Canis lupus familiaris: one gene and its partners. The protein of the gene in region 2 purifies or fractionates together with the protein of the main gene of each other region. This does not show direct contact. Links are inferred from orthologs where the notes say so. Each region holds a gene or a part of one and is shown on either strand. Other genes may lie near its edges. The genes, in order: BTBD1, COPS6 and RHOBTB1.

Evidence for each region.
Region 1: the proteins of COPS6 (region 2) and BTBD1 purify together in Homo sapiens (affinity purification with mass spectrometry; 3 studies listed by BioGRID and IntAct, counting the BioPlex papers as one, with this or other methods). This does not show direct contact. The link is inferred for Canis lupus familiaris from reciprocal best matches to the Homo sapiens genes COPS6 and BTBD1.
Region 3: the proteins of COPS6 (region 2) and RHOBTB1 purify together in Homo sapiens (affinity purification with mass spectrometry; 4 studies listed by BioGRID and IntAct, counting the BioPlex papers as one, with this or other methods). This does not show direct contact. The link is inferred for Canis lupus familiaris from reciprocal best matches to the Homo sapiens genes COPS6 and RHOBTB1.

The regions. Positions count from the first base shown.
Region 1 is NC_049224.1:55,298,805-55,302,455, forward strand, and holds part of BTBD1 (BTB/POZ domain-containing protein 1), read right to left. Parts: intron 3,391-3,651; coding exon 3,193-3,390; intron 1-3,192.
Region 2 is NC_049227.1:9,447,126-9,450,876, forward strand, and holds the start of COPS6 (COP9 signalosome complex subunit 6), read right to left. Parts: upstream 2,509-3,751; 5' UTR 2,484-2,508; coding exon 2,360-2,483; intron 2,139-2,359; coding exon 2,013-2,138; intron 1,820-2,012; coding exon 1,688-1,819; intron 1,361-1,687; coding exon 1,272-1,360; intron 1,183-1,271; coding exon 1,120-1,182; intron 814-1,119; coding exon 766-813; intron 689-765; coding exon 574-688; intron 481-573; coding exon 388-480; intron 296-387; coding exon 195-295; intron 89-194; coding exon 1-88. UniProt on the Homo sapiens protein: Component of the COP9 signalosome complex (CSN), a complex involved in various cellular and developmental processes.
Region 3 is NC_049225.1:13,657,181-13,660,831, reverse strand, and holds part of RHOBTB1 (rho-related BTB domain-containing protein 1), read left to right. Parts: coding exon 1-473; intron 474-1,802; exon of another isoform or gene 1,803-2,114; coding exon 2,115-2,233; exon of another isoform or gene 2,234-2,776; intron 2,777-3,651.

The DNA of each region.
Region 1 (3,651 bases), on a different chromosome or scaffold from region 2:
AGACAAGATTCCATCAAAATCCTAGAGAAGAACACAGGCAACACCCTTTTTGAACTCGGCCATAGTAACTTCTTGCAAGATACATCCACGAAGGCAAAAGAAACAAAAGCAAAAATGAACTATTGGGACTTCATCAAGATAAGAAGCTTTTGCACAGCAAAGGATACAGTCAACAAAACTCAAAGACAACCTACAGAATGGGAGAAGATATTTGCAAATGACATATCAGATAAAGGGCTAGTTTCCAAGATCTATAAAGAACTTATTAAACTCAACACCAAAGAAACAAACAATCCAATCATGAAATGGGCAAAAGACATGAACAGAAATCTCACAGAGGAAGACATAGACATGGCCAACATGCATATGAGAAAATGCTCTGCATCACTTGCCATCAGGGAAATACAAATCAAAACTACAATGAGATACTACCTCACACCAGTGAGAATGGGGAAAATTAACAAGGCAGGAAACAACAAATGTTGGAGAGGATGCGGAGAAAAGGGAACCCTCTTACACTGTTGGTGGGAATGTGAACTGGTGCAGCCACTCTGGAAAACTGTGTGGAGGTTCCTCAAACAGTTAAAAATAGACCTGCCCTACGACCCAGCAATTGCACTGTTGGGGATTTACCCCAAAGATACAAATGCAATGAAACGCCGGGACACCTGCACCCCGATGTTTCTAGCAGCAATGGCCACTATAGCCAAACTGTGGAAGGAGCCTCGGTGTCCAACGAAAGATGAATGGATAAAGAAGATGTGGTTTATGTATACAATGGAATATTACTCAGCTATTAGAAATGACAAATACCCACCATTTGCTTCAACGTGGATGGAACTGGAGGGTATTATGCTGAGTGAAGTAAGTCAGTCGGAGAAGGACAAACATTATATGTTCTCATTCATTTGGGGAATATAAATAATAGTGAAAGGGAAAATAAGGGAAGGGAGAAGAAATGGGTGGGAAATATCAGAAAGGGAGACAGAACATAAAGACTGCTAACTCTGGGAAACGAACTAGGGGTGGTAGAAGGGGAGGAGGGCGGGGGGTGGGAGTGAATGGGTGACGGGCACTGGGTGTTATTCTGTATGTTAGTAAATTGAACACCAATAAAAAAAAAAATAAATAAAATAAAAAAAAATAAAAATAAAAAAAAGTAACTTCATTAAAATTAAGATTTTCTTTTTATCAAAAGCCAAGATATAGAAGCAACCCAAGTGTCCATCAATACACAAAAAGATAAAGAAAATGTGGTACACATTACAATGGAATATTATTCATAAAAAAGAATGAGATCTTGCCATTTGAAACAACATGGATAGAGCTAGAGGATATTATGTTAAAGTGAAGTCAAACAGTGAAAGACATATACCATATGGTTTCATATATATGTGGAAACTAAAAAACTAATGAACAAACAAACAAAATAAACAAGCTCTTAAATACAGAGAACAAACTGTTGCCAGAGGGGAAGTCGTTGAGGGGGATGAGCAAAGTAGGTAGAGGGGATTAAGAAGTACAAACTTTCAGTTATAAAATAAGTCATGGAGATGAGAAGAACGGCATAGAGAATATACCCAATAATATTATAACAACATTAATTGGTGATAGATGGTGACTATACTTTTACAGAATAGTTGAAACACTATGTCATACACCTCAAACTAGGATAGCACTGTATATCTACTATACTTCCATAATAATTTTTTTAAAAGAAAAATTATCTCATGAAGGAGGATATCCAGTTATTGGCACAATCAGCATCATTAATTGTCAGAAACACAAAAAATTAAAACCACAATAAAGTATGTCCTCATCCTACTATATGACTAAAACTACAAAAACTGACAATACCAAGTTTTGCAGAGGATGTGGGACAACTAGAATGTACTCTTAACTCTCTTAACTTGGCAGTTGAGCATGAACTGATATAATCACTTTGGGTAACTATTTGGTAAGATCTAATGTTGACTACATGCACACTCTATGACATAACGATTCCACTTGTATAATACTCAACAGAAATGTTTACATATGCACCCTAAGTGACATGTATAAGAATGTTCTTAATGGCCCCCAAACAGAAATAACCCAGATGTTCAGCAAGAGTTAAATGCATAAATGAATCATGGCACATTCATACAACAGATTATACAACAATGAAAAAGAATGAGCTACTGTCACACACAACCACTGGGATGAATCTAAGACATGTTAAGAGAAAAAAGCCATACACAAAAGAACACATACTGTACATATAATTTCCTTTATATACGTTCAAAAACAGAAGACATGAACATTTCTCCAAAAATGACATCCAGATGGCCAACAGACACATGAAAAGATGCTCAACATCACTCACATCTGTCAAAATGGCTAAAAGATTTTTAAAGATTTTATTTATTTATTCATGAGAGACACAGAGAGAGAGGCAGAGACACAGGCAGAGGGAGAAGCAGGCTCCATGCAGGGAGCTTGATGTGGGACTCCATCCTGGGACTCCAGGATCACACCCTGGACCGAAGGCAGGCACTCAATTGCTGAACTAGCCAGATGTCCCAAAATACATGATTTTTGTATAGTTATACAAACTATACAAAATATACATGGTATTTTAAAAATATAACCTATGTTCACTCATATGTGTGGAAATCTAAAAAAACAAAATAAAAACAAAAGAATAAACAAACAAAAGGTAGGATCAGACCCACAAACACAGAAACTGGTGGTTGCCAGAGGGGAGGATAGGCAAAATGGGTGAAGGGGTGTGGGAGGTCCAGACTTCCAGGGATGAGTTAATTCACAGGAATAAAAAGGCACAGCACAGGGAATACAGTCAATGATACTGTAACAGCCTTGTATGGTGACAGGTGGTGGCTACACTGGTGGTGAGCACATAACCTTATAGAACAGAATCACCATGTTGTACACCTGAAACTAATGTAACCTGTGTGTGCCTCTACTCAAACAAACCAACAAAAAGAACCTAATACACATATCGAAATAAATATCCTATAATGTTATCCTGAAGGGCTACCAGGAGACATAAATGAAATTACATGCACATACCCACATTCATATATTGTGTAACTAGAACGCAATGAATACCAGCTGCTTCTCCTCCTGCACAGGGAGGCTAGCTGACTGCCTATTTGTTTTACACAGATTTTGGTCAGGTTATAGCCTTACCTGCTGCAAACTCCTCAATAGTCATCAGTGGAAACCGGATCAAGGACAGTGCTTTTCCCAGAACTTTCTGTTTGTTTCCAAAAGTCACAGGTAATTGTTGTCTTTGACATTCTGCTTCTGCCCATCGTACAACAGCTCCAAAAAGTCGACTTTCTCTAATACTAAGTGTGTCTCTTTCTAGAACCGCACAGAGTGTGTCTACAAGTAAAATACAAAAATAAATCAAATTAGGAATATTTTGCTCTTTAACAAAAAACACAAACAAGTTTATATTAAGTTTTCAAATTTCAACAAAAAACAGGCTAGATACTTAAAACTCTATACTTAAAAATATTAAAGAATGAAAAGAATTAAATGGCAGTTTTATTTAAAAAAATTGCTATAAGGTTAACATTCAACTTATTCCTTATTATACATGGAAACTTAGGTATAGCATCTCCTTGTATATTCATGCCATTT
Region 2 (3,751 bases):
CGTTGAACTTGTTCACAAACTGGTTCATGGTGTTGCAGGTTTTGGTAATGGTGCCAAGGTAGGCCATGAGCCCCACGTCATTGCATTGCTGGAAGGAACAGAAAACCAGTTGCCCAGGGAATGTCTGAGTCCCGGGTCCTGCGTGCAGACATGATGTACAAACCCCACGTCCCCAGCCTGGGTTTTAGACTCACATCGTAAAAGTCTGTCTTGAACTTGTCTGTACTGAGCACAGGGAGGCAGTGACACAGAGCATAGGCCTCCCGCAGGATCTCATGGTTAAAGGGAACCTCTCCTAAAGGCACAGAAGGACTGCATTAATGTGGATGAGGTCACCCTCAGGAGTGAGAAAAAGTGGTAGGCGTGCCAGGGAGACGCCTGTCCTACCCGCTTCAGAGGCCTTGACATATTCCAAGATGAGCTTGACCCGGCTGTGCAGCATCTTAATGGCACTGTGTTGTGCTATCAGGTGTTCGGCCACTGGGGGGAGACAGGGAGAGGCCAAGGTTGAAAACGCACCTGGCCACGCTTTCCACCCCCCACTGCTGAGGAAACACCTCCAGTCTTCCTTACCTGTGGAGTTCTCGCCGCTGCCTGTGGCTGTCATTCGGGCCACGTGGTCGACGCCAATGCGTTCAGCTTCCTCTGTGGCCAGAGTGTAGGTCAGTTCCGCAAACAGCATCGTGGCCTACAGGGCACAAAAGCAGAGTCAGGAGCAGGAAAGGCCAAGGAGCAGGACCGCGGGGTTGAAAGGCAGGGCATTACCTCTCCATTGATTATATCGATGACAGACTCAAAAACACTGACGGGAAGCTGTAAAGCAACGGGAGACAGCTCTTACATCAAGTGCACCTGGGCTACCGTACTGGCTCTTCTGCAGATTTTCCCAATCTTCCCAAGGGCCCACTGAAGTAAGGCTAACCCCCACCTTATACATAGGGCAAAAAGCAGTTCTGAGATTAAATGATTAACCTAAAGTCACACAGCTGCTGAGCGGAGAATTCACCTCAAGTGAAGATTCAGCCCAACAGAGATGTAAAGCACAGCAGGGGAGGAGGGTAAGATTGTCATGCTTGTCCAGCACCGTGCCTAAGTGGGCATGGGGTCAGTATTACTCACATCTGTGTGCTTGGTCATAGGATTCAACTTAAGAAAGAGAGGGCTCTCGATGATCTCGCACACCTGGAAGGGAATGGGGATGTGGGTGTCAATGCCCATCTTTCCTCCCCTGCTCAAGCCCTGCCCCAGCATGCACCAGCATGCATGTGTACCTGCTTGTGGACGTGGATGTCAGAGGGGTCAGGCGGCCCCCCGGTGGTATACCAACCCAAAAACTCCAGCTCCTTGAACACCTGTTTGACTGCAGGGGAAAGAGCACAGGGTATCATTCTTTAAATCACCCTCCCTTCATTGGAAACTCCTGGTATATTTTTCATCAGCTTCTCCCCTCCCCGCTCAACTCCTGGCTCAGTTCTCAATAATTAGTCCCTTCTATCTTCTCTCATCTATTACTGTCTGGGGGGTGGGTACCTAAACTGTTCCTTTTCTGAGATCCTTTGTGATACTCTCCTCACACAAACACAGTTCTTGTCCCATTCTCCTATTTTTCCCCATCACTCTCCATCTTCCCCACTCTGCCTTTGTTTCTCACTCCCACTCCTCACCCCCGAGTCTATCCCCCTCTCACACTGCTCCTCCTTGGTGTAGTAATACTCCTTGTCAATGATAATCTTCTCCTCCACGGTGTGGGACAGCAGCTCAAAGGAGTTCATCACCTCGATATTTCTGCCCTCCTGCTTCCCGATCAGCGCCCCAATCACTGGGGGAGAGAGCGACACGGAAAACAGGAGGGTTAAGAATCCGGTCCCTGGGTCGAGGTCAGTGGGAACGCAATGCTGGAGACACGGTGACCTGGGGAGGGGGGACTGGCCTCAGGAAGGGCGGGGGCAAAGACCCCTACTTGGGGCAGGTGACCAAGGAGAGGAGGTTGGAGATTGACGCCCAGCACGCACCCTGCATAGGCCGCCCCTCCTGGGAGCGCATGCGAATCCAATGGTCTGAAATGTTGAGAATGACGAGGGGATGAAGAGCGACGGAGACGCTCCCCGTCACGCCGGAGGCCATCACGCTGGGGACTACTGAGGGTGGAGGAAAAGGAGGACGAGTGAGCGTCGGGGCCGCACGTTCTGCCCCGGAGCTGCGAGCGGGAGACGGCAGAGCCGGAGCCATACATCCCTCCCGCAAGTTAGTCCAGGGGGCGGGATCGCCGTCCCGACTGCTGACTCCTCCCGGGAGTCCAGGGGGGCCTTGTCGCTCCCCGGGGGGCGTCACCAGAGGCCGCCTCCGCGAGGCCCGTTACCTGCCGCATCCACCTCCATCCCGCTGCTCCCTCCAGTCCCGTTCGCCGCCGCCGCCATTTTCCCCGCGCCCGCCAGCCTCGGCCCCGCCCCCTCCCCGTCGGCTTCCGTAGGCCAGCGGCGCATGCTCAGTGGGCGCGGGGCCTCGGCGGGTGGGGCGGGCGGCCCCGGAGCGGGTGGACTTCGGAAGACCGGGTCCGCCACGCGCTTGCGGCGGTGACAGATCTGGGACAAATTACTTCACCCTGCGCGCTCCCAGCCTTACCGTCCTCGTCAGTAAAACTGGGATAAAACGGCCCAGTTCCTAAGACTGTTGCAGAATTAATGAAGAACCACGTTATTGCCCTCAGAACAAGATCCGCGCCCGGGCCATGGCGTGCAAGGCCCCGCAGGGTCAGGACCCTGCCTGCCACCCGGCCCTCGGTCCTCGTGCTTCAGCCGCGCCGGCTCCCCTGGCAGTTCCCTTCGTATGCCCCACGCCCACGTGCGGGCCTCTGCCGCGTCCAACCCGACAGCCAAGGACCTAAATAGGTATTTCACTGAGTGGATAATCTGAGGTGAAACCTGGTCGCGAATGGTTCACCGGCGTGTCCTTTCCTCCTTGCAAATACCGTATTACCTACATACTAGGAACGTGCCCAGCACTCCAGCCCTTCCCGGCCTCCCTCTATCCTCCATCTCCAGCAGCCTTTCAAAACTCGCTTGGGACAAACCCAGCCCACTCCGACCCCTCCCCACTCCTACGCCCAAGCACGTCGCTGTGCACTGCGTTTACTCCCCCTTGCTCCCCTACCCATTTGTCTAGCTGGTTCTTTCAGTGTATGCCTGTGCCACATCCAAAGTGAAAGCTCTCAGAAAGCAGGTGAAGACCTGTGCCTTGAGCCTGCAGAGCCCACTCCAGTGCCCGCAACCAGCAGGTACCAGGAAATGTGTTCCAGTTTCCTTCAGTTCCAGTGTTTTAGCAGCATCTTCAAATCTTTTTCTTTGTCCCTCTGTTTCTGTAGTCACATCGCCTTGTGCGATAAAACCCCTCCTTGCTTCTTTCTTATAAAGACACCTGGCATTATATACAGTGCCCACTGGGATAACCCAGGATAATCTCCCCATCTGAAGATCCTTAATCATAAATCCACGATAATCTCCCCATCCGAAGATTCATACTTCAATCAGATCTGCAAAATCTCTTTTTCCCTGTAAAGTAACATTCACAGGTTCCAAGGATTGGGACCTGGCTGTATTTGGGGGCCACTGTTCAGCCCGCCATAGCACACGCAGCCCACTGTGGGGGAGCTGGAGAGCAGCACCCTCAATCAAATGGTCATTGTCTTTATGATCCAGAATTATGTCAGTCCATGAAGAGAATCCTGGTGGCCGAAATAAAATTAAGTTGGAGT
Region 3 (3,651 bases), on a different chromosome or scaffold from region 2:
TGAGGAAAGGGAGGAAGGTGCCCCAAGGACACTTCAGACCAGTCAGTGGAAGTCCTCGAGCCAGAGCCTGTCCCAACAGGAGAGTCTGGGGCTGGAAGCTGAGAGCTCAATTCCAGAGATGCAGACTTTGTCAGGCTGGAGCAAGGGGTTCCTTGACATGCACAAGGAGATGCAAGTCAATCCTGTCTCCAAGCGGCTGAGCCCCATCACCGTGGTCAGAATGGACTCATCCGTCCAGCCAGGCCCTTTTCGGACCCTGCTCCAGTTCCTTTATACAGGACAACTGGATGAGAAGGAGAAGGATTTGGTGGGCCTGGCTCAGATTGCAGAGCTTCTAGAGATGTTTGATCTGAGGATGATGGTGGAAAACATCATGAACAAGGAAGCCTTCATGAACCAGGAGATTACCAAAGCATTTCACGTCAGGAAGGCCAATCGGATAAAAGAGTGTCTCAGCAAAGGGACATTCTCAGGTAAGTGGGTCCAATGGTAAAGGCATCGATCCCTTTGGTCTTGTTTCATCAAACATTAGCCATACACGAGTAGGGGACAGAATAACCATCACTAACATGTATAAATCCTTATTTTTTTCATGTACCCCTCTAGCTTGCACATATCCACCTATTTAATTCTCATCAGATTTAAGAGCTAGATGTTTTTCCATTTTGCAGATGGGGAAACTGAAGGACAGAGAGATTAGGTAACTTGCCCCGGGTTATATAGGTAGTAAACGGTAGAGCCAGGATTTGCAGGCAAGCTCCCCTCTAAAGCACCAGTGCTTCTCATAGCTAGGCCACACGACCCCTGAGCCAGAGCCAGCACCAGAGCCAGTTGGCTTGATGCTCACAATTCCCCTTCAGGGTCCTTTCCCTGACCAAGTCTACTCTCTCCACTGACCCTTTGGCCTGGAAATCCTTGAAGTGATTTTGGCAACTCTCCTGCTATCGGGAGTGCCTCATCTGTCCACCTCCCCTCCTTTTCTTTCCCACACTCCCTTACCCTGCTCTTCTATATTTTCCTCTCCTCTTCTTTGTCCTTGATAACGATGTTGTCCACTGCCCACAGCATCTTCACATAATTGCTTTACAGACTTTTACTAACTTCTGAAATTGCCTTTGTGTGTGTGTGTGTGTGTGTGTGTGCGTGTGTGTGTGTGTGTGTTTCATTGTAAAAATTTAACTTTCTGACTTTTCCTTATGCGGACACTTCTCTTTCATCCCTTATCTTTCATAATGCCTGTCATAATACACATTTAGTACTATACATTTAGTCATCAGTTACTGAGTCTGTTCAATAATTTTAAAGCTTATAAATAATATTTACTTGAAACGTTGACCATCATGAAACAGAAGCCATCCTGAAAGCTAATGAAAAGCAGTGTTACAAACCTGCAGTAAATTAAACAATGGACCTTAAGGGAAATGAATTGAATCACAGTCCCCTTAATGCAAAGGCATAATGACCAAATACAGTGTGGAGCTTCAAGTGGATTGTCTATTTAAAAAAAAAAAAAAAAAAACTAAATACAATTTAGAGATAACTGGAAAATTTTGAATATGAACTAGATATTGGATGATATTAGGGAATCATTGCTAATTTTCTTAGACGTGATAATGATTATCTAGAAGAATGCTCTTATTTTTAGAAAACTTGATAGTTTGAAGTGTAATGCTGTTAAAAAATGTCTACACAAATATATATATATATCCAAATATACATGTATATATACATATGCACACGTATTCACTATCTACACACAAATGCGCACATACACATAAAGCTAAAGCAAATGAGGCAAAATATTAACAATGTACTATTTCTTCCACTGTTTTTATTGTGTTTGAAATTTTTCAGAGTATGGAGAAAGAAAAATATTCCTTTCCTTTGTGTTACTGTATGGTTCAGAGAATTTGTGCTGGGATCTTAGGTGCAATTTTAAATGTTTACCCCTTGATCCTTGGATGGCATAGAAGGAATTGGCAGTTCCAGAGGTGGAGGTTGATACAAAATCACGAAGGAAAGATACGGAAGAGAGGAGCAGGAGATGTAGGTTGATGAACAAGGCAGACTCAGCGGAGCTGGCTCACGGTTCTGTTTCCTCAATCCTTGGGCAGATGTGACATTTAGGTTGGATGATGGAGCCATCAGCGCCCACAAACCGTTGCTGATCTGTAGCTGCAGGTGGATGGCTGCCATGTTTGGGGGCTCATTTGTGGAAAGCGCCAACAGCGAGGTATGTGCCTTCTGAAAAGCCTAAGTGGTATCTTCATGAACATGTGTGTGTTTAATTAACCAGATGACTTCAGTTCTTCAACTGTTTCCATGAACGAGTTCCTTAGGCAGTGTTGAAGTGTCAGTTAGCCTCTTTTTTTTTTTTTTATTGGAGTTCAATTTGCCAACATATAGCATATCACCCCGTGCTCATCCCATCAAGTGCCTCTTAATTTTGCAGTTACAAGGAGCTGTTGACTGTTGCTCACCGCTTTCATTTGTAAAACAGGATCAGCTCTACCTTTTAACAAATGTCACCAAGCGAGATACTATCAAAATCATATACAATAGGGGCAGAATCTGTCTTCCAGAAGCTTCTTCAATCATGGGAGTCCTGGGCTCAGCTGAGCCCCTGCCCAGACAACGACCTTAAGAAGCCACATCCTTGGCCGCAGTCTTCTCCTCTGCCCTGCCCGGTCAGGGACAGGGACGCGCTGATGGTCTCCTTGAGCTATAACACCCACTGAGGCTCTGCCCTGACTTGCCTCCTCCAAGGGTTTGTTACCTGGAAGGAAACAGTGATGGAGCAAATGATCACTCCTCTGAACACTCCTCTCTTAAGTCTAGTGGAAGCCACTGAGCCACTTCTCCGACACTGGCCCTGTCTCCAGAGGAAGGATATTCTTAGAGCAGAGTGAGCAGTATCTTGAAGACCCTACATGTTCATCTTTTTTACAAACTCGGTTGGAAAAGAAAGATAAATTCCAATCAAGCACTTCTAACTTTAGTCTAGAAGAGCAAGCATTTTTGTTCAGTTTCGAAAGTATTTTTTAACCATCTTTTTTTAAAAAAACACGGGGACACCCCATCAAGTTTATTGTCCTAAGAGCTTTGTTTTGCATATCTCAGCATCTCTCCACACTTTTAAAAGAAATAAAGAAAACAATAGCTAACTTTTCGAAAGGGGCACTCACACCAGAAATCTGAGCACTCCCATTGTGACCCAGGAGCCTGCATTTGCATCCCCAAGTAGGGAAGCAGAATCACAAGCAGGGAAGGCTGGGGCAGAGCAGGTCACTAGGCCACCTCCTGCTTCCAGAACAAACTGCAGCTGCTCCTAAACCAACCCCCACCAAAAGGCTGGCTGCTGTGTGAGGCAAAAAGTGTTAGAATTATTCCTATGACCTCTCTTGGTGTCTACCAGCCTTTATGAATCAGGAGGTTCTCTGCTGTAACTAACGAATTCTTTCCTGTGCCATCAGACGGGTTTCAGCGCCGCCGTGTCACTGAGACTACAGCTGCCTACACAGTGGAAGCTGCCCAGTGAAGGATGTGGGGCTCAAGTCCCAACTCCTCCACTTCCAAGCTGTGTGGTCTTGGGCAAGCAACCACATTTCTGAGCTCCAGTCTGCCTATCTGGAAAGCATGATAATAACCCAC